Linked DNA regions of Callithrix jacchus. Each later gene encodes a partner of the first gene's protein in a complex. Links are inferred from orthologs where the notes say so. Each region holds a gene or a part of one and is shown in the gene's direction. Other genes may lie near its edges. The genes, in order: SNRPD3, GEMIN2, CWC15, GPKOW, RBM48, SF3B2 and GEMIN4.

The links.
Region 2: SNRPD3 (region 1) and GEMIN2 share a complex: the UniProt entries of both Homo sapiens proteins name them as parts of the SMN-Sm complex. The link is inferred for Callithrix jacchus from reciprocal best matches to the Homo sapiens genes SNRPD3 and GEMIN2.
Region 3: SNRPD3 (region 1) and CWC15 share a complex: the UniProt entries of both Homo sapiens proteins name them as parts of the minor spliceosome. The link is inferred for Callithrix jacchus from reciprocal best matches to the Homo sapiens genes SNRPD3 and CWC15.
Region 4: SNRPD3 (region 1) and GPKOW share a complex: the UniProt entries of both Homo sapiens proteins name them as parts of the minor spliceosome. The link is inferred for Callithrix jacchus from reciprocal best matches to the Homo sapiens genes SNRPD3 and GPKOW.
Region 5: SNRPD3 (region 1) and RBM48 share a complex: the UniProt entries of both Homo sapiens proteins name them as parts of the minor spliceosome. The link is inferred for Callithrix jacchus from reciprocal best matches to the Homo sapiens genes SNRPD3 and RBM48.
Region 6: SNRPD3 (region 1) and SF3B2 share a complex: the UniProt entries of both Homo sapiens proteins name them as parts of the minor spliceosome. The link is inferred for Callithrix jacchus from reciprocal best matches to the Homo sapiens genes SNRPD3 and SF3B2.
Region 7: SNRPD3 (region 1) and GEMIN4 share a complex: the UniProt entries of both Homo sapiens proteins name them as parts of the SMN-Sm complex. The link is inferred for Callithrix jacchus from reciprocal best matches to the Homo sapiens genes SNRPD3 and GEMIN4.

Annotation. Positions count from the first base shown.
Region 1 is NC_133502.1:195,106,386-195,110,505, forward strand, and holds the start of SNRPD3 (small nuclear ribonucleoprotein Sm D3), read left to right. Parts: upstream 1-1,320; 5' UTR 1,321-1,416; intron 1,417-1,602; exon of another isoform or gene 1,603-1,677; intron 1,678-3,532; 5' UTR 3,533-3,548; coding exon 3,549-3,674; intron 3,675-4,120. Other genes in the region: protein GUCD1, read right to left, coding at 1-188. UniProt on the Homo sapiens protein: Plays a role in pre-mRNA splicing as a core component of the spliceosomal U1, U2, U4 and U5 small nuclear ribonucleoproteins (snRNPs), the building blocks of the spliceosome.
Region 2 is NC_133509.1:73,778,970-73,782,982, forward strand, and holds the start of GEMIN2 (gem-associated protein 2), read left to right. Parts: upstream 1-1,213; 5' UTR 1,214-1,229; coding exon 1,230-1,366; intron 1,367-1,751; coding exon 1,752-1,836; intron 1,837-4,013. UniProt on the Homo sapiens protein: The SMN complex catalyzes the assembly of small nuclear ribonucleoproteins (snRNPs), the building blocks of the spliceosome, and thereby plays an important role in the splicing of cellular pre-mRNAs.
Region 3 is NC_133511.1:45,351,626-45,355,636, forward strand, and holds the start of CWC15 (spliceosome-associated protein CWC15 homolog), read left to right. Parts: upstream 1-1,211; 5' UTR 1,212-1,319; intron 1,320-2,584; 5' UTR 2,585-2,592; coding exon 2,593-2,723; intron 2,724-3,575; coding exon 3,576-3,688; intron 3,689-3,992; coding exon 3,993-4,011. UniProt on the Homo sapiens protein: Involved in pre-mRNA splicing as component of the spliceosome. Component of the PRP19-CDC5L complex that forms an integral part of the spliceosome and is required for activating pre-mRNA splicing.
Region 4 is NC_133524.1:49,690,242-49,694,289, reverse strand, and holds the start of GPKOW (G-patch domain and KOW motifs-containing protein), read left to right. Parts: upstream 1-1,248; 5' UTR 1,249-1,328; exon of another isoform or gene 1,329-1,555; intron 1,556-4,048. UniProt on the Homo sapiens protein: RNA-binding protein involved in pre-mRNA splicing. As a component of the minor spliceosome, involved in the splicing of U12-type introns in pre-mRNAs.
Region 5 is NC_133512.1:57,090,155-57,094,164, reverse strand, and holds the start of RBM48 (RNA-binding protein 48), read left to right. Parts: upstream 1-1,210; 5' UTR 1,211-1,215; coding exon 1,216-1,326; intron 1,327-1,875; coding exon 1,876-2,066; intron 2,067-4,010. Other genes in the region: peroxisomal ATPase PEX1, read right to left, coding at 721-849. UniProt on the Homo sapiens protein: As a component of the minor spliceosome, involved in the splicing of U12-type introns in pre-mRNAs.
Region 6 is NC_133511.1:123,131,227-123,134,726, forward strand, and holds part of SF3B2 (splicing factor 3B subunit 2), read left to right. Parts: intron 1-101; coding exon 102-152; intron 153-1,378; coding exon 1,379-1,496; intron 1,497-2,121; coding exon 2,122-2,231; intron 2,232-2,564; coding exon 2,565-2,661; intron 2,662-2,843; coding exon 2,844-2,935; intron 2,936-3,357; coding exon 3,358-3,500. UniProt on the Homo sapiens protein: Component of the 17S U2 SnRNP complex of the spliceosome, a large ribonucleoprotein complex that removes introns from transcribed pre-mRNAs.
Region 7 is NC_133506.1:63,630,192-63,634,327, forward strand, and holds the start of GEMIN4 (gem-associated protein 4), read left to right. Parts: upstream 1-1,336; coding exon 1,337-1,799; exon of another isoform or gene 1,800-3,262; coding exon of another isoform or gene 3,263-3,395; exon of another isoform or gene 3,396-4,136. Other genes in the region: diazepam-binding inhibitor-like 5, read right to left, coding at 413-676; uncharacterized protein LOC118153659, read right to left, coding at 753-871, 1,131-1,338. UniProt on the Homo sapiens protein: The SMN complex catalyzes the assembly of small nuclear ribonucleoproteins (snRNPs), the building blocks of the spliceosome, and thereby plays an important role in the splicing of cellular pre-mRNAs.

The DNA of each region.
Region 1 (4,120 bases):
ATGGCCCCAGCCCAGAGCGGGCTACAGCTTCCGCTTCGGCTGGGGCGGGAGGGCGGCCGGTGCGTCTCCAGTTCCTCCGCCGCCACCGCCGCCGATGCGGTGGGGAGAACTGGAGGCGGCGGCTGGGCCTCCCCAAGGCCCGCCCCGGCCCTTCTAGTTCGCGAATCTAAAGGCCCCGCCCCTTCCATAAGCCCCGCCCCAAACTTTGATTCTAGACGCCCCCAGTCTCTCGATTTAAGCCCGCCCCGGCCATTTGCCGCTTCTGCGTCGGGTGGCCCCGCCCCGTCGCCCAATCCTCGCGTAGACGCGCTGCCCACCAGGACACGGGCCCCGGAAGCCCCACCCCTTTCCTTGAGGCCCGCCCCGAAGCTCGTGCACTTAGTGCAGATGCTTCCTAGAGGTTCGTCTCTTCAGCAAACTCCGCCTCTGCCGTGACCCGCTCCTTTGCAGCCTTAGGTGTAAGCACCGGTCCCGCCCAATGCATTGCCGAAGCGCCAAACAACTCTCTTTTTATTTTTTTATTTTTATTTTATTTTATTTTTTGAGACGGAGTTTCGCTCTTGTTACCCAGGCTGGAGTGCAATGGCGCGATCTCGGCTCACCGCAACCTCCGCCTCCTGGGTTCATGCAATTCTCCTGCCTCAGCCTCCCGAGAACCTGGGATTACAGGCACACACCACCATGCCCAGCTAATTTTTTGTATTTTTAATAGAGACGGGGTTTCACCATGGTGACCAGGATGGTCTCGATCTCTTGACCTCGTGATCCACCCGCCTCGGCCTCCCAAAGTGCTGAGATTATAGGCATGAGCCACCGCGCCCGGCCACAACTCTCTTTCAACTGCCTTTAGGGATGATCCTGAGCCGGCCGCCGCCCTACTCTATACCTAATTTTATCCGTACGAGATACCTCGCCCCGCTCAGGGCGCCCCTTACCTAGCGGTGCCGGGATCAAAAAATTAAATTGTGAGGGGGAAGTCCTGGCCCTTGGCCCAACCTCCTGCTGCCCCGGGTCTGACGGCCCAGGCCCCGGGTCTGACGGCCCAGGCCCCGGGTTTCCGCCTTGCAGTCCAGCCTGTCCTTGGTGTGGGGTGCTTGGAAGTGCGAGCACCCTCTGCGGCTCGTTGCCGGCCCAAGGGTCGTTGTTTCCGGCGGCCCTCGGGCCCAGTTATCAGCCGTCTCTTCTGGTGCCGGAACTATCGTAGCGGTGCCCTAGTTTCCCAGCCGGCGGGCGCAGCGAAGAGGAAGCGGAGACGAGACCGCACTTACCAATGGGGAAAGGAAGGAGGTGGGCCCTGCGCGCTGCATTTTGGGAACGATTGGAATTCTGGGAGCTGGGCCCGCCATTCGCTGAACTCACGCCTTAGCCGTAGACTCATTTGCCGCCGCACCGAAGAGGAGAAGGAGGCCGGAGCTGGTGAGGCTGGGGACGGGCAAGGGGGGGTCGAGGGGCCACTCGCTGCATGGAACTCTGCGGGGCTCGGGGAGGGAAGAAAGCGGGAAGCTTGGGCCACCCAGACATCAGCGAGCATCGCCTCACTAGCGCCTAGAAGTAAGTTCATTAGCTTCAGCGTGCATGCTTTCACTTTTTGTATCTCTCCAGGTCAGTGTTTTTCAGAGCTTCCAGGCAGTAATCTTGAAGTCATTTCTGGTTGACTGTCTCCTTTCCCCAAATCCTGTGAGTGCTTTTTTCTGTTTATTTTTTCTTTTTGTTTTGGAGTAGTGATGGGTTTCACCATGTCGCCCTTACTAGTCTTGAACTCCTGGGCTCAAGGGATCTACCGGCCTCGGCCTTCCAAAGTGGTGGGATTATAGGTGTGAGCCACCGCGCCCGGCCGATCATTCTTTTAAAAGTTACTTGCATCTCTGCCTCCAGCCCCCTTTCAGGTAGTGGTCCCCTCATGGTTTCCACACTGTTGCAGAAGTTTTAACAAGTTTCTCTGCTTCTAAACCTTACATTCTATCCATTTTATAAATAAATGCTGCCACTTTTTTTTTTTATTCAAAAAAAATTTTTTTTCTTTTAAAGACGGGTTTTCACCATATTGGTCAGGCTGGTCTTGAACTCCTGACCTCAGGTGATCCGCCCGCCTCAGCCTCCCAAAGTGCTAGGATTACAGGTGTGAGCCACTGCGCCCGGCAGTGCTGCTGCTTTTTTCATTACGTCATTCTTTACTTAAAATCGTGCAGTGGTTCCCCACTATTTTCAGTATAAAATGTAGACTCCTAAAGCTGAAAGCAAGGGATCCTCACCAAAGGAACCTGTTTCTTCAACCTCACGTTCTCCTCTGTTAAGTGCACTTACGTTCCAACTTTGAGTCGTTGCTTATCTCAATAAAAAGTTCACTGCTTGATTCTTTTTTTTTTTTAAAGACGGGCTTTCACCATGTTGGTCAGGCTGGTCTTGAACTCCCGACCTCAGGTGATCCGCTCGCCTTGGCCTCCAAAGTGCTGGGATTACAGGCTTGAGCTACCACGCCTGGCTGCTTGATTCTTTTAATTAGGTCAAATCAGGTGATTTCCCTGATTTTCCTCCATGACAAGCATTTCCTGAATAGAGCATATTGTCACTTTGATATTTCCTCATCTTTGATGGTAAAGTAAGTGAGGGGTTAAAGGGCTGAATTAAAAGTGCAGCCCCCTCTCCTAGGTGTTCATGGGTCCTTTGGTCTGTATCTGCACCTTCCATAGGGGAGCCACTAGCTACATATGGCCATTGAGCACTTGGAATATGGCCACTGGGATTGAGACTGGGTTTTTTATTTTAATTTTATTTTGTTTTAAGTAAGTTTAATTTAAATAGCTACATGTGGACATGAGCTGTATTGGACAGCTCAGGCCTATATAATTTTCAAAATGTAATCATGTACAATTACGGTTGACAATAACAATGCAACAAATAACATTCTAACCCCCACTCCGCAACACGAACAGTATTCGCTAATGGTCATTTAGATGAAGATTAAGGGACATAGGGTAGTAGGGACATGTGGTTGATGGGAGAGGCTCTCTTTTCATTTCTATTTTTATCTCTGTCCAGCCCACCATTCCTTCTCACCCCACATCTTGCACATATTTGCCAGATAGTTTCCTCCAAGCCAGGAGCTGAGTTGTTTTTGTTTTGTTTTATTTTATTTTGTTTTTGTTTTTGTAGAAAATGTAGCTTTGGGCCGGGCGCAATGCTCACGCCTGTAATCCCAACACTTGGGAGACCAAGATGGGTGGATCACGAGATCAGGAGATTGAGACCATCCTGGCTAACACGGTGAAACCCCATACTAAAAAAGTAGCCTGACTTGGTGGGGCAGGAGAATCTCTTGAACCCTTGAGGCAGAGGTTGTGGTAAGCCTAGATTGTGCCACTGCACTCCAGCCTTGGCAACAGAGAGAGACTCTGGCTCAAAAAAAAAAAAAAATTCAGTTTTGGCATTTTTGCTAAGTTTTATGGAGGGCTAGGCCTTGAAGGAAGCACAGTATGTGCTGCATGCCTTCTCAGTCTCTGAATGATGAACTGACTGTTGCCTCTCTCATTAGAACTCTTCCTGCCAAGATGTCTATTGGTGTGCCGATTAAAGTACTGCATGAGGCCGAGGGACACATTGTGACATGCGAAACGAACACCGGCGAGGTATATCGTGGGAAGCTCATTGAGGCAGAGGACAACATGAACTGCCAGGTATCCTGCTTTGCACATGAGGCTATGTGGGAGGAATGGACCTGTGTCTCAGAGGAACGGAAAGGTGTGGGTTGGGGGTCTTTGAAAAAAAATTGTTCTCATTCAGCAATGATTTTCTTTTGTTTGTTTGTTTTTTATTATTTTTATTTTTCTTATTATTTTGTTGTTGTTATTTTTCAGCAATGATTTTCTGAGTGCCTAATGCATGCCAGGCACTGTTGTTACAGGCTCTGGGAATGTGGGCATGAACAAGGCACAGTCTTGAGGCAGGAAAGCCATTGGAGGTTTGGAATATTTTACTTTGTCCTTTTTGTTTTTTCCATCCCCAGAGTTGGGGGCCTATTTGAGGGAAGTGCTACTTCAGTAGAATTCTTCAGATTCAGAGCCATTATCCATTTGCCTTCACTTGCCTTGTGGTTAGCAGAATCTTCTCCCATACTGTATTT
Region 2 (4,013 bases), on another chromosome or scaffold:
AGACACAGGGAGGGGTGCATCACACACTGGGGTCTGTTGGGGGGGAATAAGGGAGGGACAGGGGAGGGGAAGGAGTTGGGAGGGATAACATGGGAGAAATGCCAGATATAGGTGATGGGGGATGGAGGCAGCAAACCACATTGCCTTGTATGTACCTGTGCAACAATCCTGCATGTTCTGCACGTGTACCCCAGAACCTAAAGTGCAATAAAATATATATATATATAATTTTTAAAAAAAGCTAAGGACTATCCTGTTTAATTTTTTTATCTTCAACTTAAACTTACATCCTTGTTTGAAATCGATTCCTTGCAACCTAAAAACAGTGCTAAAATATAAACAAATTTTTTTAAAAACCTTCGAAAAGAAATATAAATTTTAGAAAAGTCAATTGTATTCACTCAATTGTATTTGTTTAGAAATAATCAGATATAATACTTGTTTCTTGCACATTCTTGCCCTGTTTCCTCACCTGTGAAATGGAGATGATACTATCTACCTAACAAGATTGACCTAACATTTTTGTTAATTTCTGTATGTTAGCATTAGCTTCATATTTTTCACTATTTGTATTTAAACGAAGATATTTTTCTTCAAAAAAAATAAAAAGTGCTGGCTATTCTAGGAGTAATACTCATTCCAAATAAACATACAGTGATCTTTGAAGTGGTCAAGCACTAGATATTCCTGTAGAAAATTAATTTTTCTTTCATTTGGCATCGGATAAGCGTATGTTGGAATTGGTGTCTTCCCCTTTGGGAGAAGCTCAGTCCCTCCCCTAACAGAGTATTACTCCCCACTTTACAAGATTGTTTTAAGAATCAAGTGAGAAAATGTGTGTGTTTATGTCGGGGTTAAGAATTTAGAGCTCCAAGAATGATAATTACAGTAATACTGTTCATTAATTCAAAAACCATTTTTAAGGATCCTTCACTACTAAGGATGCATAAAAGTTGCTAACCCTCGGCCTTTGCCCAGCGTGAGAAGACAAAACAGGGAGTAAAAGACCAGAAACGCGTTCGAACCAATTCAGCTAGGAATTAAATTCTCAGATCCTTTATTACACCACCGGAGCCTTAACCTTGAGGCAAGCAGCAGTCTGTTCATGCGCAGTTAACGCTCCCTAAACTGCCATTGCTCAGCTCCGCGCCCAAGGTTCCTACTTGTGCGCCTGCGCCGTGACCTAGAGTGGGCGCATGCGCTGAGTGGAGCTGGCTGGTTTGAAAACCATGGCGTGGGTACCAGCCGAGTCCGCTGTGGAAGAGTTGATGCCTCGGCTATTACCGGTAGAGCCCTGCGACTTGACGGAAGCTTTCGATCCCTCGGTACCCCCGAGGACGCCTCAGGAATACCTGAGGCGGGTCCAGTGAGTGATTTGGCCCTGGGCGGGTGGGCTGGTCGTCTGCCCTGCCCCGGGGTACAGCCCCTGGTGCCCCTCTCGACCTGCGTTCTATAAAGTCCTGTTTCTTCCCGTTCCAGTCTCTTGCGAGTTCGGGTCTGTTCAGGATTCTGGATTACATTCTTACGTGGGCGAGTTTCTGTTTAACATGATTGAATGTACCAAGATGTGTGATCTTAGATTTGTTTTCAATCCAGATAATTTCAGAAATATATTCTTTAGTACGTCAAGTGGAAGTCTGAATTTTTTTTTTTAATTTCACAATCAACTATGGAAATGGATCGCTCGTTTTACTACACCTGAGCAAAGCACAATAGAAATTTAATTTCTTGCATTTATTACTTATTTGTAGGATCGAAGCAGCTCAGTGTCCAGATGTTGTGGTAGCTCAAATTGACCCAAAGAAGTTGAAAAGGAAGCAAAGTGTGAATATTTCTGTGAGTTATTAACCGTCTGGAGATTACCCCCAACCCCTCAATTAAAAGACTAAGGCTCTTCCTATAGTATCCGACAGTATCAATTATGGTGTAAGTAAGATTTGACTACTCCCTTCAAAGATAGACATTCGCTTGTACTTTTTCCTCCAGAAAGGCAACTGGCATTTACAGCCTCTGAAGAGGTTTTCTGTAACTCTAGCATTTGTGGAGCTTGCCCATCTTTCTTCAGGGACACTATCCAATCCTTTCAAAGGAGTCTTTAAATGGGTTACTTAGGCTATCTTCTATTTTTTCTTGTTTGTTTATAGAGAGGGAGTCTCTGTTGCCAGCTGGTCTGGAACTCCTGGCCTCAGGCTGTCTTCCCGCTTCTGCCTCCCAAAGTGTTAGGATTACAGGCTTCAGCCACTGTGCCTGACCCCTTTATTTATTTATTTTTTGAGACAGAGTCTTGCTCTGTCACCCAGGCTGGAGTGCAGCAGCAGGATCTCGGCTTACTGCAAACTCCTCCTCCCAGGTTCAAGCTATCCTCTTGCCTCAGCTTCCCAAGTAACTGGGATTACAGGTGCCTGCCACTACGCCTGGCTAATTTTTGTATTTTTAGTAGAGATGGAGTTTCACCATGTTGGCTAGGCTGGAACTCCTGAACTCAGGTGATCTGCCCACCTCGGCCTCACAAAGTGCTGGGATTACAGGCGTGAGCCACCGCACTGGGCCCTCCTTTTTTTTTTTTCCTAAGGAATCTTTTTCCAGTTACTAGATTGGTGTTTAATCCTATTGTGCTTTGTGTGTTCTGAATTTGATAAAGTTCCACTTTTTGTCAAAATAGAAACTCAGATATCTTACACTTTTACAGCTACTTGCACACTGTGGACATTTTCGTTTATTTATTTATCCAGCACATTTTTAATTAAGGGACTACGTTGTGCCAGGCACTGGGAATGTAACAGAGGATAAGATAAAAAAGGATCCTACCCTTGTAGACAGAGAGTAAACAGGCAAACAAATAATTACATGTTGTGACTATTGCTATGAAGAAAATAAGCATATGTAATAATCAATAAATGACAGAACTACTGTAGATAGAGGAATCACAGAAGGTCTTTCTTCCCTCCCCCCCCCCTTTTTTTTTGAGTCTTGCTTTTTCGCCCAGGCTGGAATGCAGTGGTGTGATCTTGGCTCACTGCAACCTCCACCTCCCGGGTTCAAGAGAGTCTCCTGCCTCAGCCTCCTGAGTAGCTGGGATTACAGGTGTGTGCTACCACACCTAGCTAATTTTTGTATTTTTAGTGGAGATGGGGTTTTACCATGTTGGCCAGGCTGGTCTTGAACTCCTGACCTCAAGTGATCTGCCTGCTTCAGCCTCCTAACGTGTTGGGATTACAGGCGTGAGCCACCACGCCTGGCCAGCGAAGGTCTCTCTAAGGAGGTGCTATTTAACCTAAGCTTAAAGGAGGTGGCATTTTAAATTGTTGATAGTAATTTCCTTTTCATGTTGAAAGTAATTTCTCTATCTGATATTTATAATCAGAAAATTTTAATTCAGACACTATAATGTTTCCTGTAATTCCTCTTCAGGATTTTTTAGTTGATTGATTTATTTTTTTGAGACAGAGTCTTGCTCTGTCACCCAGGCTGAAGTACAGTGGCACGGTCTCGGCTCATTAGTTGATAGACATTTAATGGAACAGAATGTCTTATATACCTAATTTGATAGATGGATGGATTGATTGAAACGGTATGTCTCTCTTTTTGTTTCTGTTTGATATTCTAGAAAGGCAGGTAGGACTAGATCATATCCTCTGGGCTAACGTCATTTAGATTTCATAGAAACTCCAAGTATAGGGCCGGGCGCGGTGGCTCAAGCATGTAATCCCAGCACTTTGGGAGGCCGAGGCGGGTGGATCACGAGGTCAAGAGATTGAGACCATCCTGGTCAACATGGTGAAACCCCGCCTCTACTAAAAATATAAAAAATTAGCTGGGCATGGTGGTGCGTGCCTGTAATCCCAGCTACTCAGGAGGCTGAGGCAGGAGAATTGCCTGAACCCAGGAGGTGGAGGGTGCGGTGAGCCGAGATCGTGCCATTGCACTCCAGCCTGGGTAACAAGAGTGAAACTCTGTCTCAAAAAAAAAGAAACTCCAAGTATAAGCCTTTCCAGATTTCTCTTATTAAATTG
Region 3 (4,011 bases), on another chromosome or scaffold:
GCAGTAGAATAGAATTTGTTAAGTTTTTAAAGTAGAGTTGTTAAGACCTGTAAATGAACTGTATGTGAAGAGTGAAGGTAAAAAAATTTAAATAGGCACTCTGGGATTTTGGTTTGAGTAACTAATATGATGACCTTTACTGAGATGTTTAACACTGGAGGAGGGATATCTTTGGTAAGAAAAATCAAGATTTTCATCTTGAACTTTACGAGTGAAAAGGCTTTTTCTGCTTTTTTTTTTTCCCCTTCATTTAAAAGTTGCAAAGAATTTAGGGATAAGAAAGCATTTAAATTTTCAATTTTGTGAGCTCCTTACATTTTAAACTAAGTTGGGGACGTTGAATTTCCATTTAACAAGTATTTATTGAGTAACTACTATACGTCAAGGTCTACGTGATGATATACCAAGATGAACTAAGCATTCAAGACCTCTGTTCTCAGATTGACTTATTTTTTTATGGAAGGGAGGTGAGACGATTGGTGGGTTTTTTGGTTTTTGGGTTTTCTCCTTTTCGTTGTCTTATTAAAACTTAACACTTGAGTAGCCATCTTAATAACTACACTGTGCTTCTGGCAGTTGGGCCCACCGTTCTAAACGCTGTCGTAAATACTGACATCTCCCCTCCCACAAGAACTAACGTTTTTTAAATAAAAAAATTTTAGCAAACATTACGCATACAACCTTTGCTTTGAAGTGTAATATTTTTGCAGGAATGGTACCTTTATAAAGATCGTGGTTGCCCCGTACTTATTTGTTCTTTCTTCATATCCAATTAAATGAAAACACTAGTTTTTCCGAAGCCCAACTCTCTAGGCTTGTTGGTTCTAGCTCAGGATGGAAGCAGGAGTCGTTGGATTTAAACAGTTTGGTGTAATCCTTTTCCACGCTCTAACCCGCTAGCCGGGGACGTGGTGTCGGCTACCCGGGGCTTTCCGTCCACGCAGTACCGGAATGGAGTCTGGGAGGGGGTCGGGGACGGAAAAGACGGAAGAGACATTAAGTAATTGGTTCTTGAAGGTATAAAATGATGTTTAGGGTCTACTCTAAGGCACTGATTTCAAACGCCCGCCCCCTGGGCCGTTTAGGCCCCGCCCCTTATTGCCCTTACGCCAACTTCCACTTTGGCCTCTGCGGATTGGTTGTTATCTCCGCCTCAGAAGCGCTTGGGTTTTGCTTCCGGGTCATAGGCCTAGCCCTGAACGCAGAGGTTCCTGGGAGCCAAGCGTAGTAATGGCGTCTGTATGATATTCGGAGCCTGCTGCATCGGACCTCGGCCAATGTGAGTGACAGGAGGATAACAGATTATCTTCTTTATCCCGGTAGGACGGGAAAGGGCAGTTGGGATTGGAGTTGGTGGCAGAGTGCTGAGCGCGGGCGGCGGAGGCCCTGAAGCAGCTCGCTAGGGGCGGAACCGAGTGCCTGTCAGGCGCGTCCGGAGCTCTAGGCCTGCGGTTAAGATCGCAGCGTAAAGGCAGCTCGCCTACCGCTTAAAGCGAGCCTCAGGTCCACCCTTCACTACTCCTCGCATCCCTGTAGTGCTAGGCACGGGTGAAGAGGTAGCGAGTTTCTGGTTATAGCCAAAGACTAGCTCTCCGGAGGCCAGAGTGATAATTCTGTTGGCGTGTGGGAAGGCGCGGTGCCCCCAGAGCCAGATAATCCTGTTTCTTCTTTGAAGACATGCCTCTACCCTTTTCGGAAATCAAGAGAAATAGACCCCTGCCAAAAAAAAAAAAAACGAAAAAACAAATCCTCCCAATTCACCCACCCTCCCACACACTTTTCCGACACTTACAGCGTCTTAGTAACTAAATCTGTTAGACAGTATTCTTGTGATTGCGCCAAGCAGAAAATAAAGAATGTGTCCCTGGTTTTTGGTATTAGAATCCTCTGGGGCGAGGTTCTTGTTTTTTTGAACAGTCCTTAAATTATAACCCACAAGAGATCTGAGTTATAATATGATGCCTGTTGTAGAAGAAAATTGGATCAACAAAAGGTTGTTTAAGAATTTTTTTTCTATGTAACTGTCATTGAAGTTTAACACTTTTGCCTAGGGCACTTAATAACTTCGTCAGTGATTTTTTAAAAATTGTTTTTGGCTTTTGTTTCTGTTAGTCTATTTGCTATTGTGTGAAATTTAGATAAAATACAAACCTTAGAGAGTTTGGTGGAGTAAGGTTGAGCTGAGAATTTTTAAAACTCAGTCATGGCAGTACGGTATTTTATAAGGGTTTTGACATGTCAAGTGTCGTAATTCTTACAATAATCCTAGGAGGAATATCTCCATTCCGCTGATGACAGAAAGTTAAGCTAGGTGACTTCGTGAAGCCCACAGAGTCAGAAGAATAGGGATGCAAACTCAGATCTTCGTGACAGAATTTTTTGTACTAAGACATGTCTGGGAATCCATATTCCTTGTACTGCCTAAGCCTCATAATTTTTTTTCTTGAAAACTTTTGTTTAAGAAGATTAAGCAAGTTTTGGGGAATGAGTTTTAGAACTTATATCACCAGGATGGATATTGATTAATACTCTAAAATGAGAGTTCGTAATGTTGGAAATAACTTGATACTATTTTTCTTCAAAGCATAAAAGATGACAACTGCAGCCAGGCCAACCTTTGAACCTGCAAGGGGTGGAAGAGGAAAAGGAGAAGGTGATTTGAGCCAACTTTCAAAGCAGTATTCAAGCAGAGACCTACCTTCTCATACAAAGATAAAATACAGGTAATAAGACTTTTTTGTTGTCGTTCGCAAAACAAGACCAAATCTGTTAAATGACATGGTCATGATATAGTAGTATGTTTGAGTTATGTTACTTATTTATTTTCATAGACATAGAGTGCAACAGGATGTTTAACACTAAAATTTTGCTCTATGATTTTAAAATGCAAAATTCCTACTAACCAGGAATTTTCATATGTAGATAGAGCAATAAATAATATAAATAATAATGCCTCAGAGAGACTATGCACAATCAGCACCAGTCAATATATTAAAAATGTTACTGTTCTGAGTTGATATAATACTAATTACAGATATTTTAATCTGTGTAAAGCCGGCTGGGCGCAGTGGCTCACGCCTGTAATCCCAGCACTTTGGGAGGCCGAGGCGGGTGGATCACGAGGTCAAGAGATCGAGACCATCCTGGTCAACATGGTGAAACCCCGTCTATACTAAAAATACAAAAAATTAGCTGGGCATGGTGGTGTGTGCCTGTAATCCCAGCTACTCAGGAGGCTGAGGCAGGAGAATTGCCTGAACCCAGGAGGTGGAGGTTGCGGTGAGCCGAGATCGCGCCATTGCACTCCAGCCTGGGTAACAAGAGCGAAACTCCATCTCAAAAAAAAAAGAAAATCTGTATAAAGCCTTATCATGGGAAAATACTGAATTTGGATTTCTCGAAATATTGGGAACATCACAGGAGTGGCTGTTAGTAACCCTCAGATTAGCTTATGGTCTTGTCTATTTCCCTTTTTTATGCTTGAAGGACAAAGTCTCATTCTTGAATTGTCTTCCATTACTACAGTTGTGTGTGTGTGTAAGTAACATTTTTGCCCTGGCTCGTTTTTACTTTAGACAAACTACTCAGGATGCCCCTGAAGAGGTTCGTAACCGTGACTTCAGGAGAGAGTTGGAAGAAAGAGAGAGAGCTGCTGCAAGAGAGAAAAATAGGGATCGTCCAACCCGAGGTACCAACACTATCCCAGACATTTGTCTCATAAAATTATCTTTTTGATAGTTTTTCTTTCATGTAGCAACTGGAAAATGTTAACCATTTGTTTGCTTTTACACTTGATGTGAGTTATAATATTTAAGTCATTAGAGATGATAATAACAAATATTTACCAAAAGCATATTTGCCAGGCACTGTGGATATGATTTCTGTTGTCATAAATGCTTTTAATGTGGGCTCTTTGTACCCACAGGTCCCTAAAACATTGTAAGAAATGCAGTATTTGTTTTACTAAGTTAAATGATTTTTGTTTCCCCCAGAACATACAACCTCCTCTTC
Region 4 (4,048 bases), on another chromosome or scaffold:
ATGGAAAAAGGAGCCAGCCCAGCGTCCTCAGCTAACGGAGCCAGGCTTCCTTGCTGACCTCCTTTCCGCCACCCTGCAGATCCAGGAACCAGGCACAAGACCCGCCAGCCTCAGCCTCCAGGGTCTAAGCGGGTTGCCAGGTGAACACGCCCCAGCACTCAAAATTCCTTGCTGGCTGCCCTGCGTCCACCCGGCCCACTACTGGCCATGGGTCCTCGCACAGGGTGCACCACGGACCCTAGGGGGAGCAGAGGAGGTACAGGGATCGAGGGTGTTGGGGAAGGACAGGTCGAGTCGCTGCCACCCTCTTCCCGCCTGTCCGCTCCACATTTTTTCCTTCTGACAGGTGGTAAACAGAGCTGCTCTGGCGCCCAAGTGGCGGTGACAGGGGGCAGGGGCCCAGCGATAGAGGCTGGGCTTGAGGTCCCCTACCCACACCCACACCGGAGCGAAACGCCTGCACAACAGAACCGGAGAGGGGCTCTCAGGAGTCTCCAGGGAGATGTGCAGATGTGCGGGGAGGAGTCTGTCCGTGGTCACTGGGGACACCTGGGCACTCAGGGTCTGTAGTGAACTGGGAGTAGGGGAGCTGGGGGTCCCTGGGGACCTGTGGAGGGGGAATCTGGAGGTACATGGGTCATGGGGGGAACGGGCCTCCTGAGGGAATTCATGGGGATAGCAGGGGTTGCCTAGGATACCTAGAGTGGGAATTGGGGGTCCCAGGGCTACAGGGTCAGGCCGGGTTCTCCCAGGATATCTGGGGGAAACGTTCCCAGGAGATGTCATGGACGAAGAGTTGGGCGTCCAGGGTGATTAGGGGGCAGTCGAGGACCTCACGGGATGTTCAGAGGTGTCCAGGACTATTGCAGTCTAACAGCGATCTCCAGGGACACCGTGAGGGCAAGCGGGAGTGCACCGGCTACCCGCGTTGGTCGGGGATGGGTGAGGGGGAGGGACAGCGGCGACTCCGGAACTATCGAGGGAGTGGCTAGGGGTCGCCCAGTGTCCTGAGGGTCATTTCTAGATCTTCGGGCGTCCGGAAGAGTGGGGGTTGGCCGAGGCCGAGGGTCGGCTTTGACCTGTTCCCCTCTCCTGCGCAGGCCGCGAGCCACAGCGCCGGGCAGCTCTTGGCGTGGCTGGACGCGCGCCCCCTGGCGGCGCGGGCGGCGGTGCTACGCAGAGCAGGGCGCTACATTGCGCCTGCGCCCCAAGGAGGGAACGTGACAGGGGCAGGGCCTCCCGTGGGACGAGTTAGGAGAGGAGCTGGTTTCAGAAGGGTAGGCCCGTGGAATCAGCGGCTACTGCCCTGCGTTGGGTGGTGCCAAGAGGTACGATTTGGGAGGGCGGGGCTCGGAAAGTGCTTAGAGTGGGTGGAGCCTCGGGGTTATCCTAGAATATTCATTGAGGGTTATCGCAGTAGGCGGGGACCAGATTAGTTGAGAGTGCGGGGCTGGATCCCTGTTCTGGCCAGTGGGGCTTCGAGAATTCCTTTCCGAGGAGGCGGGGTCTGGAAAGTGCTGGGGGCGAGCTTGCAGCGAAGGGGCAGGCCTGAAATGTGAGTCAGGGGATGGAGCCTATAGGCCCATGGGGGCGGGGCTTGCGATGTCAAGAATGGGATGAGGGTTAGAGGCTAATTAAATGGTTTGCTCTGGAGGGTTCAGGAGCCAAATTTTGGAGTAGCACCCTCCAGGGAGGACCGAATGGAGTTTGCATGTGTGTGTGACCATATTTGAAGATAATCCTGAAGGTGTTATTTGAGAAATGTTTTCTGTGCGTTAGTAGAGGGAGATAGGAAGGTAAGGTCTTGGAGGTATTGAAATGGTCGGGCCCAGGATTATTTAAGGAGATGGAGCTTTGGGGACTAGTTGAGAGGAGAGTGCGAAGACAGTTTGGGCGTGGCTCCAGGTTCCAGGAGCTGCGGCTAGAAAGTGAACGTAAGGGGCGGGGCTGAGACAGTTTCTATTGAGAGTCCCTAACCACTTTCTCCGCCTCTTCCATTCCCTAGCCTTTATCTTTCTGGGCTATAAGGACAATAATTTCATGAATAGTCGCCTGTCCCACAGACCCCCTTGCCTTCCATGCAGAGGTTCTATCATGGCAAATACAGCCAGGCGTGAAAAACCTTTGGTAGTTTTTGGGAGCTGTGAACAGTAAGTGGCTCTGGAGACTGCCTTAATGAACCTTGGGGGCGGGAGGCTTGCAAGGATATGGGGAAGAACAGAAGGTGAAGAAGGGCAGTGGACAGAGCTAGGCTGAAAACACAGCGCAAGCCCTGAGCCAATATGGAGAATTGGGTAAGACTCCAAACTCTGGTGCTAGGCAGCCTGGGTTCAAGTCTGACTGTTACTACCAACTTCCTCACCTTCAGTACGTTAAGTTCTTTGTGAAAAGCTTAGCTGCAGCCATACAAAAGAATGGGATCATGTCCTTTGCAGAGACATAGGTGAAGCTGGAGATCATTATCTTTTGCAAACTGAGGCAGGAACAGAAAACCAAATACCGCATGTTCTCAGTATAAGTGGGAGCTAAATGATGAGAACACATGAACACATGAGGAGAACAATACACACTGGGGCCTATTGGAGGGTGGAGGGTGGGAGGAGGGAGAGGATCAGGAAAAATAACTAATGGTTACCAGACTTAATACCTGGGGCATGAAATAATCTGTAAACAAACCCCCATCACACACGTTTATCTATATAAGAAAACTGCACATATACCCCCTGAACTTTTTTTTTTATGAGACAGAGTCTCACTCTGTCACCCAGGCTGGAGTGCAGTGGCGCAATTTCTGTTCACTGCAACCTTCATCTCCCAGGTTCAAGTGATTCTCCTGCCTCGGCCTCCTGAGTAGCTGGGACTACAGGCACCTGCCACCACACCAGGCTAATATTTGTATTTTTAGTAGAGACAGTGTTTCATCAGGTTGGTCAGGCTGGTCTCAAACTCCTGACCTCATGATCCACCCACCTCAGCTTCCCAAAGTGCTAGGATTACAGGTGTGAGCCACCACCCCTGGCCATAAATTCAGAACATTTTTGTCCCCCTAAAAGACACCCCATGCCAGTTGCAGTGGCTCATGCCTGTAATCCCAACACTTTGGGAGGCCGAAGCAGGAGGATCACTTGACCCAAGAGTTCCAAACCAGCCTGGGAAACATAGTGAGACCCTGTCTCTCCTAAAAATAAAATAAGTAGCTTGACATGATGGCCAATACCTGTAGTCTAGCTACTTCAGGGGTTGAGGCAGAAGGATCACTTGAACAGGAGAGGTGGGTGTTACAGTGAGCCCTGATCTCAACAATTCATTCCAGGCTAGGCGACAGAGCAAGACCTTGTCTCAATAAGTGAGTGAATGGGCAGGGAGTGAAGGCTCATGCCTATAATCCCAGCACTTTGGGAGGCCAAGTCAGGCAGATCATGAGATCAGGAGTTCGAGACCAGCCTGGCCAAAATAGCGAAACCCCCGTCTCTACTAGAAATACAAAATTTAGCCAGGCATGGTGGCAGGTGCCTGTAGTCCCAGCTACTCGGGAGGCTGAGGCAGGAAAATCACTTGAACCTGGGAGGCAGGGTTGCAGTGAGCCAAGATGCACTGCACTGCAGCCTGGGCAACAGAGTGAGACTCTGTCTCAAAAATAAAAAAAAAATTAAAGAGAATGAATAAATTAGTAAACAAACCCCTATAGCCTTTTTTGAGAGAGATGGAATCTTGCTATGTTGCCCAGGCTGGAGTGCACTGGCTATTCACAGTCGTGATCCCACTACTGATCAGCACAGGAGTTTTGACCTGCTATGTTTCCAACCCGGGTAGATTCACTCCCTCCTTAGGCAATCTGGTGGTCCCTGGCTCTGAAGGTCACCATATTGATGCCAAATTAGTGTGTACACCCAATCTGCATAGCACACTACAGCCCAGAACTCCTGGACTCAAGCAATCCTCCTGCCTCAGACTGCCGAGTAGCTGGGACTGCAGGCATGGCCACAGCACCCGCTCCAAACCTTTAGCTCTACTCCTCCAGCCCTTGGCAACCATCAGCATACTATTT
Region 5 (4,010 bases), on another chromosome or scaffold:
GAACTTCAAATACGCTATCCTTTTGCCCCCATAAGCACACTCAAATTCTTGAGACCATGTGCCTCTATTTTTAATTATGAAAGTAGGGACGCTGTATCTCCACCAGTGGTTACAACTGTGAAACTTCCCTACCACAACGTCCAGAAAGGCGACTGATCTCAGAGCTTCAAGTGATCCTAACTACGTTACGTGTTCCTAACACACCACAGCTGTGTTCCGAGGGTCAGCGACGCCGCGCAAAACCATCATTGTATTAATCTTTCCCGCTTATGGGACGCGGTGGTCAGTCCCCGGGAATCTACCCGGGCTCAGCCAACAATTCTCCGCCTCCCTCTCGCGGCCGGGACGGCAGCAGCGCAGGTAACTGGAAATGACTGGCAAGAAAAACACCTTTTAAAATAACAAAAACAAACGACTTCTCAGGAGATATTCCAACCTGGAATAAGGAATATTTCTAAAAACAATGGTAGAATGTTAGAATGTTTCTAGGCTCAGTTTCACCAAGTGAAAAGACCTGGGATAAGACAAGCCCAGGGCTGCCCAGGACTTGTGGGACGCAAAGACTACTCAGAGGGGCCCTGTCCTCGAGGGACCCTTCGTCTGACCTCTGCGCGCTTCGGCGGCGCCCGAAAGGCAGCAGGCATCCCGCCGCCTCCCAGAGAGGTTTCGGCCTAGTCCGACCCCAGGCTGAACAGCAGGTGGCCGGAGCCGGCACGTTACCTGCAGCAGGTGCAGCTGGGCCACGAGACGCCGCGGCAGGTGGAGGAAGCAGTCGCGAGCGTTGGTGAAGACCACAGTCACTGCCGTCCCGCCTCGCCCAGCATCCGCCAGGAGATCGCTGCCCCACATCGTCCTTACGCGTCGCTCCGGGTTCGCCCCACCCCAGCGCCGCAGCGGACCCGGGACCTGGCAGGCCAAGGGCGTCGGAGCCGGAGGAGATAGATCGGCCCCGCCCCCTCTGACCGCTGCGCCTCTCGTCGCAAGCCTGTATTAGGTGGAACAAGCGAGCTTCTGCCACTCACCGCGCCTCTCCGCGGTGCCGCTCGCGGGGGCGGCAACTCGTTCATCAAATCCTCTCACGCAGGAAACGATGGCCGACGCTGTCGATTCTCCAGCCAATCGTGGGACTCCTTGACTCATCTCGCTCTCTTATTGGGGAAAAGGGAGCTCAGCAGGGCGGATGTTGTCCTCCCTGCGAGGATCAAAGCAGGCAAGATGGCGTCGAGCGGTGGGGAGTTAGGGAATGTATTTGACCACCACGTCCAGCGGGCGGTATGCGACACGCGGGCCAAATATCGGGAGGGACGACGGCCTCGTGCTGTCAAGGTAAAGTGATTTTGGTTTCATTCGCTCTCTTCGGTAGCTTTATATGAGTGCTAGCGCCATATAGCCAGTCTACAGAAATAAGGGCAGGACAAGGCTGCTGTCAGATCCCTCTCTCTTTAGAGCTAGCGTGAAGAACCTTGCTTGGGTCAGTTATCAAAGATTCTCACGATCCTTTTGGTCAACTATTAGAACAGCACCTCCACGAGAGTAAGGCTTGGTTTTAGTCATTGGATCTTCTGTATTTACAGTACTACTTGGCACAAGGTAAGCGCTCAGTGAATACTCGTTGAGTGATTGTTCCCGGTGAATTCTACCGACTCAATTTCTGGAAAAAAATGTCGACTGAAGGTAGTCTGTTATATGCCTTTGTTAGGTACCCTCTCACATGGGCTGTTACTCTTTATGCAGAGGGAATGAGAGACATTTTATTTTGTGTTTGGGTTGAACAGATTATTTCTTGTTTTGAAAGCGCTGTTTAAAAAAAAATAGAGGCAGATTCGTCCTAGGTTTATTTGCGAGATACATTTAACGACTCTGCATTTCTTTCAGGTATATACAATCAATTTGGAATCTCAGTACTTACTAATACAAGGAGTTCCTGCTGTGGGAGCCATGAAAGAATTAGTTGAGCGATTCGCTTTATATGGTCCAATTGAACAGTATAATGCTCTAGATGAATACCCGGCAGAAGACTTTACTGAAGTTTATCTTATTAAATTTGTGAACTTACAAAGTGCAAGGTAATGTGCAAGTTAAGCAGTGACTCATTTTCTCCATTCATATTTCTATCATTTTGGGCCCAAGTTTCCCTCATTCATACCTCATTCAATGTAATCTAGCCTATATTCCACTTATTTTCCTCTAGCCTTTTTAAAGGTATACTTTACTTGAAGCACTGTTCCCATCACATCATTCCCATGCTTAACAATTTAATGTCCTGTGGTGTGGTAGATTAAAAGTTGGGTTTGAAGTTAGGACACGGTGGCTCTCGCCTGTAATCCCACCACTTTGGGAGACTGAGGCAGGCAGATCACTTGATGTCGACAGTTCAAGACCAACCTGGCCAACATGACAGAAACCCCAGCTCTACTAAAAGTACAAAAATTAGCTGGGCGTGGTGGTTGGGACCTGTAGTCCCAGCTACTCAGGTGGCTGAGGCATGGGAATCACTTGAACCTGGGAGGTGGAGGATTGCAGTGAGCCAAGATCATGCCACAGGACTCCAGCTTAGAGTCCAAAAAGGCTGAAGTATGCAATGCCTTATCTATTTTTATGTTATAAAGCGAGGCTCTCAAAAAAAAAAAAAAAAAAAAAAGATGGGTTTGAGGCCAGGCACATGGCTCACACCTATAATCCCAGCACTTTGGGAGGTCGAGATAGGGGGATCACCTGAGGTCAGGAGTTCAAGCCCAGCCTGAGCAACATGGTGAAACCCTGACTCTACTAAATACAAAATTAGCCAAGTGTGGTTGCACAAGCCTGTGCTACTGGGAAGATTGAGGCACAAGGATCACTTGAAACCAGGAAGTGGAGGTTGTGGTGACCTGAGATCACACCACTGCACTCCAGTCTGGGCAAGAGTGAGACTGTCTCAAAAAAAAAAAAAAAAAGTTGAATTTGATCCCAGCACTTTGGAAGACCAAGGTGGACAGATTGCTTGAGCCCAGTTCAAGACCAGACTGGCCAACATGGTGAAACGCTGCCTCTACGAAAAATACAAAAATCAAGCTGAGCATGCCTGTAGTCCCAGCTACTTGGGAGGTTGAGGTGGGAGAATCAGTTGAGCCCAGGAGGCATAGGTTGCAGTGAGTTGTTTATGGGCCACTACACTTTAGCCTGGGGGACAGAGTGAGACACTGTCTCAAAAAAATAAAACAAAAAGTTGGGCTTGGAGTAAGTTTTCCAGTCCAACTGCTTACTAGCTTCATGACCTTGGACAAGTTATTTAACCAGGTTAAACCTGTTTTTCCTCTTCCATAAAATCTATATGCTAAAGGGACCTTCTTGAGGTAGTATGCTGATGAAATGAGATGATCCATATAAAGGGTTTAGCATAGTCCCTCCTGGTCAGAATACAGTAAGCATTAGCTATTGTCACTCCTTTCTGCGAATTGACTCAGTTTTTTCCAGCCTTCTATCTGATATAAGCCCTCTGCTCAAAAAAAGCTGAAGTATGCAATGCCTTATTTGAATCCTTGCTCCTCAAACGAGAGTATGAGCATGGCTAAGTTATATAATGTCCTAGTGCTTCACTTTCATTATACAGTTGTGAGGTATTAATTCAAGGGAAGCACTTATGACATTGCTTGGCATATGATAAAATCTCAACAAGTATTAATATTATCCCTGGATATAGGAGTAGTTAAATTTATTTATTGTAGTACTTGGCATATCATAGATGTTTAGTAAGTATTGACTGAATAACATTTTTATTTTCTCATTGTTATATATTTAGTATTTCCTCAGTTATTGAAGGTATTATGATTATAGTATTTTTCATCTGATTTTTAAGGCATAAATCCCATTACAGAAATACATTGTGCTGAAAAAGCTTAATTGGATATGAACTAACTCTTCAGGGCCACAGAAAAGCTCTATTTTATGACCAGAGTTTACATACCTCAGGCCAACCAGCTGGGTCCTTAGTTGCTTAAAGACTAGGGAACAAATCCAAGAGGTTTAAA
Region 6 (3,500 bases), on another chromosome or scaffold:
AACATGGGTCCTTGACTGGAAGAGGATCTCAAGAAGCAAGAGCTGTGAGAGATTGGCCTGTGGAATATTGGTGCTGGTATGAGCTTGTTTTCTTTTTTAAGCAGGGAGATCATTCGCTGAAGGAACATGAGCTCTTGGAACAGCAGAAGCGGGTAATACTCCTCCCCTTTGACCTCATGGTCCAGTTTGTTGGTGGCCATTTATAGTGCTTAGGGTGTACCATTCAAGTTTTCCCTGGAGGCTGTTTTTTCTCCAACTAAGTTCCAGTGTCTTCCAAAGTATTCAATTTTTCTTAAAGTTCAGGAATTGAACAAACTGTGACCTGGGCCTGCGTTTGTATGGCCTGTGAGCTAAAAATAACTTGTAAATTTTTTTAGGAGTTTTAAGAAAATGCAAATCAAAAATATGTAGCAGAGTCCATACAGCAGCCCATAAAGCCTAAAGTATTTACCTTCTGACCTGTTACACAAAGCATGTGCTGATCTCTGCTTGCCTTACATGAGATCATTCTAGATAAGACACTGGGCAATTGAATTATTTGTATTGGATTTAGACAAAATATGACTATAAGTCTGGGAATGTTATATAAGATGTTTGGCCCCAGAGTTGTATTGCATTAGTCGTTACCCAGTGGATTACTCAGGAATATTAAAAAGTAAGTGTTAAAAGCAATAAGTATGAGCTGGGTGCAGTGGCTCACACCTGGAATCCCAGCACTTTGGGAGGCTGAGGGGGGTGGATTGTTTGAGCTCAGGAGTTTGAGACCAGCCTGGCAAACATGATGAAACTCTGTCTGTATCAGAAATACAGAAGTTAGCCAGATGTGGTGGCACACACCTGTAGTCCCAGCTACTTGGGAGGTTGAGGTGGGAGGATGGCTTGAGCCTGGGAGGCAGAGGTTGCAGTGAGCTGAGATCATGCCACTGTCTGACCCTGTCTCAAAAAAAAAAAAAAAAAAAAAAGGCAACAAGTCTGGACCTGTGGATGAACTGCTGTCTTTGCCCAGATTGTGCTGGATCTTGAGGGGTAGATACAAGAAAAGAATTCAAAAGTTTCTTCTGTATAATTTAATATTTTGGGGAAGAAAACTCTCTGAAAAGTAGAAAGCAGTGTTTGGCTGAATATGAAATTTTCTGTTAGGAACCAGAAGTTTCCTGGGGTTTTCCTTGGTGTTATTTCTAGGGATTTCCGTTGTGATTAGGGGCTCCTCCATTTGGATTAGTAGCTTGGAAGTGTCAGGGTGAGGGGATGTCAGCACCCAAGTGGTTCGTGATTGTTCTCCTTCGGCCCATTACCCGGCTGAAAGAACGCATTTGCCAGGGGCTGCCTGCCAAACACATTTTCAGGCTGTCTCTCCACTCCCACTTCCCTCCCACAGGCAGCTGTGTTACTGGAGCAGGAACGACAGCAGGAGATTGCCAAGATGGGCACCCCAGTCCCTCGGCCCCCACAAGACATGGGCCAAATTGGCGTGCGCACTCCTCTGGGTCCTCGAGGTGAGACCCTGGAATGGAGGGGAAGGGCAAGGAAGGTGTTTTCAAAAAATTTTTAAAGACTTTTAAAGTGGCCGGGCGTGGTGGCTCAAGCCTGTAATCCCAGCACTTTGGGAGGCCGAGGCGGGTGGATCACGAGGTCAAGAGATCAAGACCATCCTGGTCAACATGGTGAAACCCTGTCTCTACTAAAAATGCAAAAAAAAAAATTAGCTGGGCACGGTGGTGTGTGCCCGTAATCCCAGCTACTCAGGAGGCTGAGGAAGGAGAATTGCCTGAACCCAGGAGGTGGAGGTCGCGGTGAGCTGAGATCGCGCCATTGCACTCTAGACTGGGTAACAAGAGCAAAACTCCGTCTCAAAAAAAAAAAGACTTTTAAAGTATCTGTCACATTTAAAAAGTGCATATAGAGTAAATATACAGTGTAATGACTTTTTACAAACAGAGCACACCCATACAACCAGCACCTGGACCAAGATCCAAAACATTACCAGAACCCCAGAACCTACCCCCCACTCTGCCGTGCCCTCCTCCACTGCAGGGTAACCATCACCTTTTTAGCAAGAAAGGTGGTTTTTTTATGTGTTTCGTCTCTTCTGACATTTAATTTCTTTCTCCCTTCTCTCAGTAACCGCTCCAGTGGGCCCAGTGGGCCCCACTCCTACAGTTTTGCCCATGGGAGCCCCTGTTCCCCGGCCTCGTGGTCCCCCACCACCCCCTGGAGATGAAAACAGAGAGGTGAGACTAATGATTTCTTCATAGGGACAGGAGAGTGGTAGTTTAGAAGGGGACTATTTTTAGAGAAGGGTTCTGTGAGAAGTTGGGGACTTAAATTCCTGGGGGTAGTGGGGAGTGCTGCTTATTTAAACTATACTTAGGGTATGGCAGAGGGATTGGGGAGACATTACTGAGGCAGAGTCTTGGGGTCCCTCTGAACCTCACTGAGCCCAGTTGGTGTTGCTCACTCTGCTGCTTACATCACCTGGCCAGCAGCCTTTCTAGTCCAAAAGGTAGAAGTAGTTAGAAAAAGGGTGCTGTGATTCATCTCCTCTGACTGGTTGTCTCTGGCAGATGGATGACCCCTCTGTAGGGCCCAAGATCCCCCAGGCTTTGGAGAAGATCCTGCAGCTGAAGGAGAGCCGCCAGGAAGAGATGAACTCTCAGCAGGGTGCGTGCCGGGTGTCCTGAGGCTGCAGCCACAGAACCTGGAGAGGCCGAGGCTGAGTCCTCATTCCTGTGTCCCTTCCCTAAGGAGAATTTAGAGAGTCAGGCTCTTGGTAAAGGTGGGTGACTGTGATGCGTGCAGGGCACTGGTACCGTGAAGACTCATCACCACCTTCTTCCTTACAGAGGAAGAGGAAATGGAAACAGATGCTCGCTCGTCCCTGGGCCAGTCAGCATCAGAGACTGAGGAGGACACAGTGTCCATATCTAAAAAGGAGGTAGGGTTGGAGCTGAGTCTGGAAAGAAAGGCAGGAGATGGGACTTGGGTACGAAAATAGCACAATTTGTAAGTGTTCAGTAAGTAATAGCTTCTATTTTGTGCCAATTTCCACCTAAGCATCTTATAGATATTTTTTATTGAATTGCTTTGACTTCCAAGTACTATGCTTGCCTACATTTTAGAGCTGAAAGAACTGAGGTTCTGAGAGGCACAGTAATCTACCCAAAGGTACACAGCCTGTGAATGGCAGAACTTTGGAGTCTGACTCCAAGGCCTCTTCACAACCACTTCATGAGATGGCCTCCTTGGAAAAAGCCTGAGCATTGAACTGTGGGGGACACTGGGGAAGGAGTTCGTGGGTTGGGGTGCTGCCACCCTGTTTGGATTCTCTGACCCAGCTGGTTTTCCTCCTCTTGACAGAAAAACCGGAAGCGAAGGAACCGAAAGAAGAAGAAAAAGCCCCAGCGGGTACGAGGGGTGTCCTCTGAGAGCTCTGGGGACCGAGAGAAAGACTCAACCCGGTCCCGTGGCTCTGACTCCCCAGCAGCTGATGTCGAGATTGA
Region 7 (4,136 bases), on another chromosome or scaffold:
AGGCCCTGTGTTCCAGTGGGGGTTTCGGTGTTTAGGACAGAGTCCCTTTCCCCTCTGTAGTGTTGGGTGTTCATTAATCACTCTTGAAGAGGTAAGGGGCTGGGCCTCAGCCTCCCCAGAGGCCATCAGTGGAGAAGGGTCTCGCTGACCTCAGATCGTGGGCATTTCCACGGCACACCATCCCTCCCAGTACGCTCTAGCAATAGGAAGGCTGGGAACGCCACCCAAAGCCACACCGTTTTTGCGGTCTGTGTATTTGGACGCCTCCCCAGCACCCAGTCAACGAGTTTCTTTTTCCACAGCAGTCAGTCACTCTCGTGCAGTGTCAGTGATTTATTGGTGTTTCAGCTAACCCGGTTACTCTCCATTTCAGCCATCAAGGTCTAGGGAGCCACTCCATTCCGAGGAGCCCTCAGCCAGCCTCCTTCCTGGTCAGCTCCTCCACTTTGGCCACGTAGGCCCTCATGGCGTCCATCCTGGACAGCCCTTGGTTCGCAGTCCACGCCTCCCACTTGGCCTTGGCTTTCAGGTCAGAGGCGGGAGGCGCGGGGAGGTGGCAGTCGCCCCGGGTGGCCTGCTTGTACCAGCCGTAGAGCAGCAGCTTGTCCTGGTCGCTCAGGGGGCCCTTCAGCTGCTTGAGGGCGGTGCGCGCCAGCTCGAACTCCACTTGGCACATGGGGCGGGAGGCGGCCGGGCCTTTCCGGGCGATCCGGGTGCTGGAGGCCGGAGGTGGGGAGGTAAAAAGGCCGGCGTCAGACCTCCAACTCGGGGGCAGGGGACGGGCGGCGCGTGGAAGAACACGCAGAGTCTGTATTTTCTTCTCCGCGACTGCAGGCCCGGGAGCCAGTGTCTGGGTCTGTCCACGATGTTTCTGTGGAGGAGCAGACGTGAGAAGCGCCTCCGGTCCCAAACGCGGCCGTCCCAAGGGGGCGGCGCGGCAGCGGCGCGCACAGAGTGCGAGCGTAGGACGAGCTGGGCGGGAGGAAGCCGCGCGTGGGGAGGCCGCGCTGGGTGGGGGCGGACAGTGTGCGGGACGCGCCCGGGGTCACCGGATGAGGGTGAATGCGGAGCCGGGGCTCAAGCCGGACGCACTGGGACCCGGAGGCAGGCCCGGGAGCAACGCCCGATACCTGACGGACGGGAGGCCTCTGCGAGGAGGCGGTGCTGTGGCTCTGCGCGCTCCTCCGTGAGGACTGCGCTTGCGCGGGGGGCTATGGGCGGGGACTGAGCACGGCCGCCGTGGCGCCTGCGCCGCCCATTGTGCCGTGCGTTCGTCGCCGCGCCCGCGTTCTCTGAGAGGGAGAGCCAACCCCGCGCAACCGCCCGCGTCGCTACCATGGACCTAGGTGGGTGCCGCGCTCCCTGCCCGGGCTGCGTCCCTCCACGCGTCAGCAGGGCGGTGCTCCCTGGCGCGTCTCCTCCCGCTGCGCGCACTGATGGGCCCAGGCGGAACGTCCTCCGCGTCGGGGCGGGTCTGGGGTTCCGGGTGGCTTTGGCTGGGGACCCGGGCCCGGCCTCGGGAGTCGCGCCGCGGAGTGAGGGTGGAACCCTCTGGGCCGGCGCACGTGCTATGGAAGCGCGGCTCCTTCAGCGCCCGGACTGCCGCGCTCCTGAAAGGCGCGTGTCTCCTGTCGTCCGGCTTCGTCTCGGCGGAGCGGGAGGGGGACGGTGCGTCTGCCCCCGAGGGCTGCGCGACTCTCCACGGAGGCCGCGGGCGTCCAGGTCCCGCGCAGAGTTGCCGGGGCGGCTGCGCGCCTCGGAACCGGAGTGGTCGGGGCCAGGCCCGGAACACGGAGCAGGTGGGCGGGCGTCCGGAGAGCTGGGGCCGCGGCGCTTCGGCACCAGCTCTCGGGAGCGGAATGGCGTCCGGGCACCCTGAGAAAAGCGTTTCTGCAGCTTCGTGTTCGGGCCTTGAGCGGGAACGGCGTTGTCAAGGTGGTCGTGATGCGTGAGGTCTCGCATGTGACCCGGCGCGGGGCTGGCGCGGTGAGCGCGGAACCACCCGGTAGCCCTAGCTCTTGGCTCTGGCGCGCGCTGGGCGCCGTTCCTGACCGAGCGCCGGCGGGTTTTCCAGCCGTCACTGCCCTGGCGCTACTGCTGCAAATGCGGCGGACTGCCTGCGTTTGGAAGGCGCGCGTGGATGGCCAGACATTGGCCCAAAGAAGCTGATAACGCAGTAAAATTAAATTTGCAGCGCTAGGGGGGGCCGCATTTTGGGGTTTGGGCGAGCCTCCTGACGGTAACCCTAGCGAGATCCCTCTGCAGCCTCGGCCTCAGCCACTGTGAGCTGAGGTGGATTTTCTCCGCAAATGGGTTACATGGGAGTGCTGAGCGCTGGGCCTGTGGCTGCTCCCACACATGGTGGCAAGGGCAAGACAGTCCTTAGTCTCCTGGAATCCGTGTTATCTCTGCTGATGTCTGGCCTGTAAAATGGAGACTGAGCTCTCAGGGGCATGAGAGACTGAGGAAGAAGCATCTCTTGGTCCTAGAAAAGGGAGAGGACTCAGGAGTGGGGAATAGTGAGCAGTGTCTATCCTGGGAAAGGGAGAAGACTAGGGAGTGAGGAATGGTGAGCATTGTCCCGATCCTGGGAAAAGGAGAGGACTCAGAAGTGAGGAAAAGTGAGCAATGCTTGTACCCTCGTTTTACTTCCTGGGCCAAAGGAAACATACCTGATAAAAACCTATGTCCTTTGATGTTTCTGAGCTGGGGCAGGCAAAGAACAGTGACAGGGTTTTGATCCTGCCAATGATGAGAAGGTTTGGGGAAACCAACATTGACTGAGCCCTGATCAGGCTCTGTAACCTGATTCTTAGTGTAGCTGTATCACATTTATCCATCACAGCGTCTCCAGGAGATGGGGTCAGGAGATAGCAGTACTAACCCACTACCAGGGGCTTGACTGGTATGCATCATATAATCCTCAGAGTCGTAACAAGAAGTCTGTATTATCCCCAAAGCTGCAGAAGGAAGGCTTGGAGAAGCAATCTGACCATGATCACATCCCTTACCCACCCCCCTTTTTTTAGGGGTCTGGGGGGGTCTCACTATGTTACCTTAGCTAGTTTTGAACTCCTGACCTCAGGGATCCACCTGCCTCAGCCCCCCAAGTAGCTGGGATTAGAAGTGCTAGCCACTGCACCCCTGGCCAGAATCACATTACTTTTAAATGGCTGATCTAGGAATCAAACCTATGTTTGATTAAACATCCCAAGATGTAAGTCTGTCAGTTATTCCTTCTCTGCAGGAAGGACTTAATTTAATGAAGTATTTTCTGTATCTACTCCCTGGTTTCTCCCACAGAGCCTGGGCCATGAGTAGCTTGTCTTTGGAAGGAGCTGTGGGGTGGACTGTTTCCCTGAAAGGTAGAACAATGTTTGAAGCCTGCTCCCAAGGCAAGGTTATGAAGGGCGAAGGCAGGGCTTGTCTGATTGCTTCTGTGCCCATTACCTGTGGCCATGTGATTGCTTCAGTGCTCATTACGCTATGGCTGTGTGATGGCTGCTGTGCCGTTACCCTGTGTCTGTGTGATGGCTGCTATGCCCATTACCCTGTGGCTGTGATTGCTGTTGTGCCGTCACTCTGTGGCTGTGCCCATTACCCTGTGAATGTGTGATTGCAGCTGTGCCCATTACCCTGTGGCTGTGTGATTGCTGCTGTGCTGTTACTCTGTGGCTGCATGATTGTGGCTGTCCTCATTACCCTGTGGCTGTGTGATTATCACTCTTCCCCCTTCATCTGTCATGAGAAACTCAGCTGTCATGTCCTGTGGTACATGCTCAATAGCTCTGTCGTTTGTACTGTCCTCGTGCTATTTCTGAACCTCTCTCCCCACATCCTCCTCTGGCCCATCCTTTGCTGAAGGGTTTGCCCTCAGCAGCCCAGCTTGTTCTTTTTACTTTTCCTGAGGGATCTCATTCTCTCTTGGTTCCGGTGATCCCCTTCTGGGCACATGCCTCTCAGAGTCACATTTCCCAGCTGACTTACCCCCTGAACTTCCACCCGGCATTGCAACTGCTGAAGGACATCTCCTCGATAGCCAAAATCCAGAATCACATTTCCCAGCTGGCTTTTCTCTTCAACTTGCATGGGGCATTTCCACTGCTGGAGAACATCTGTGCCTTGATAGCCAAAAT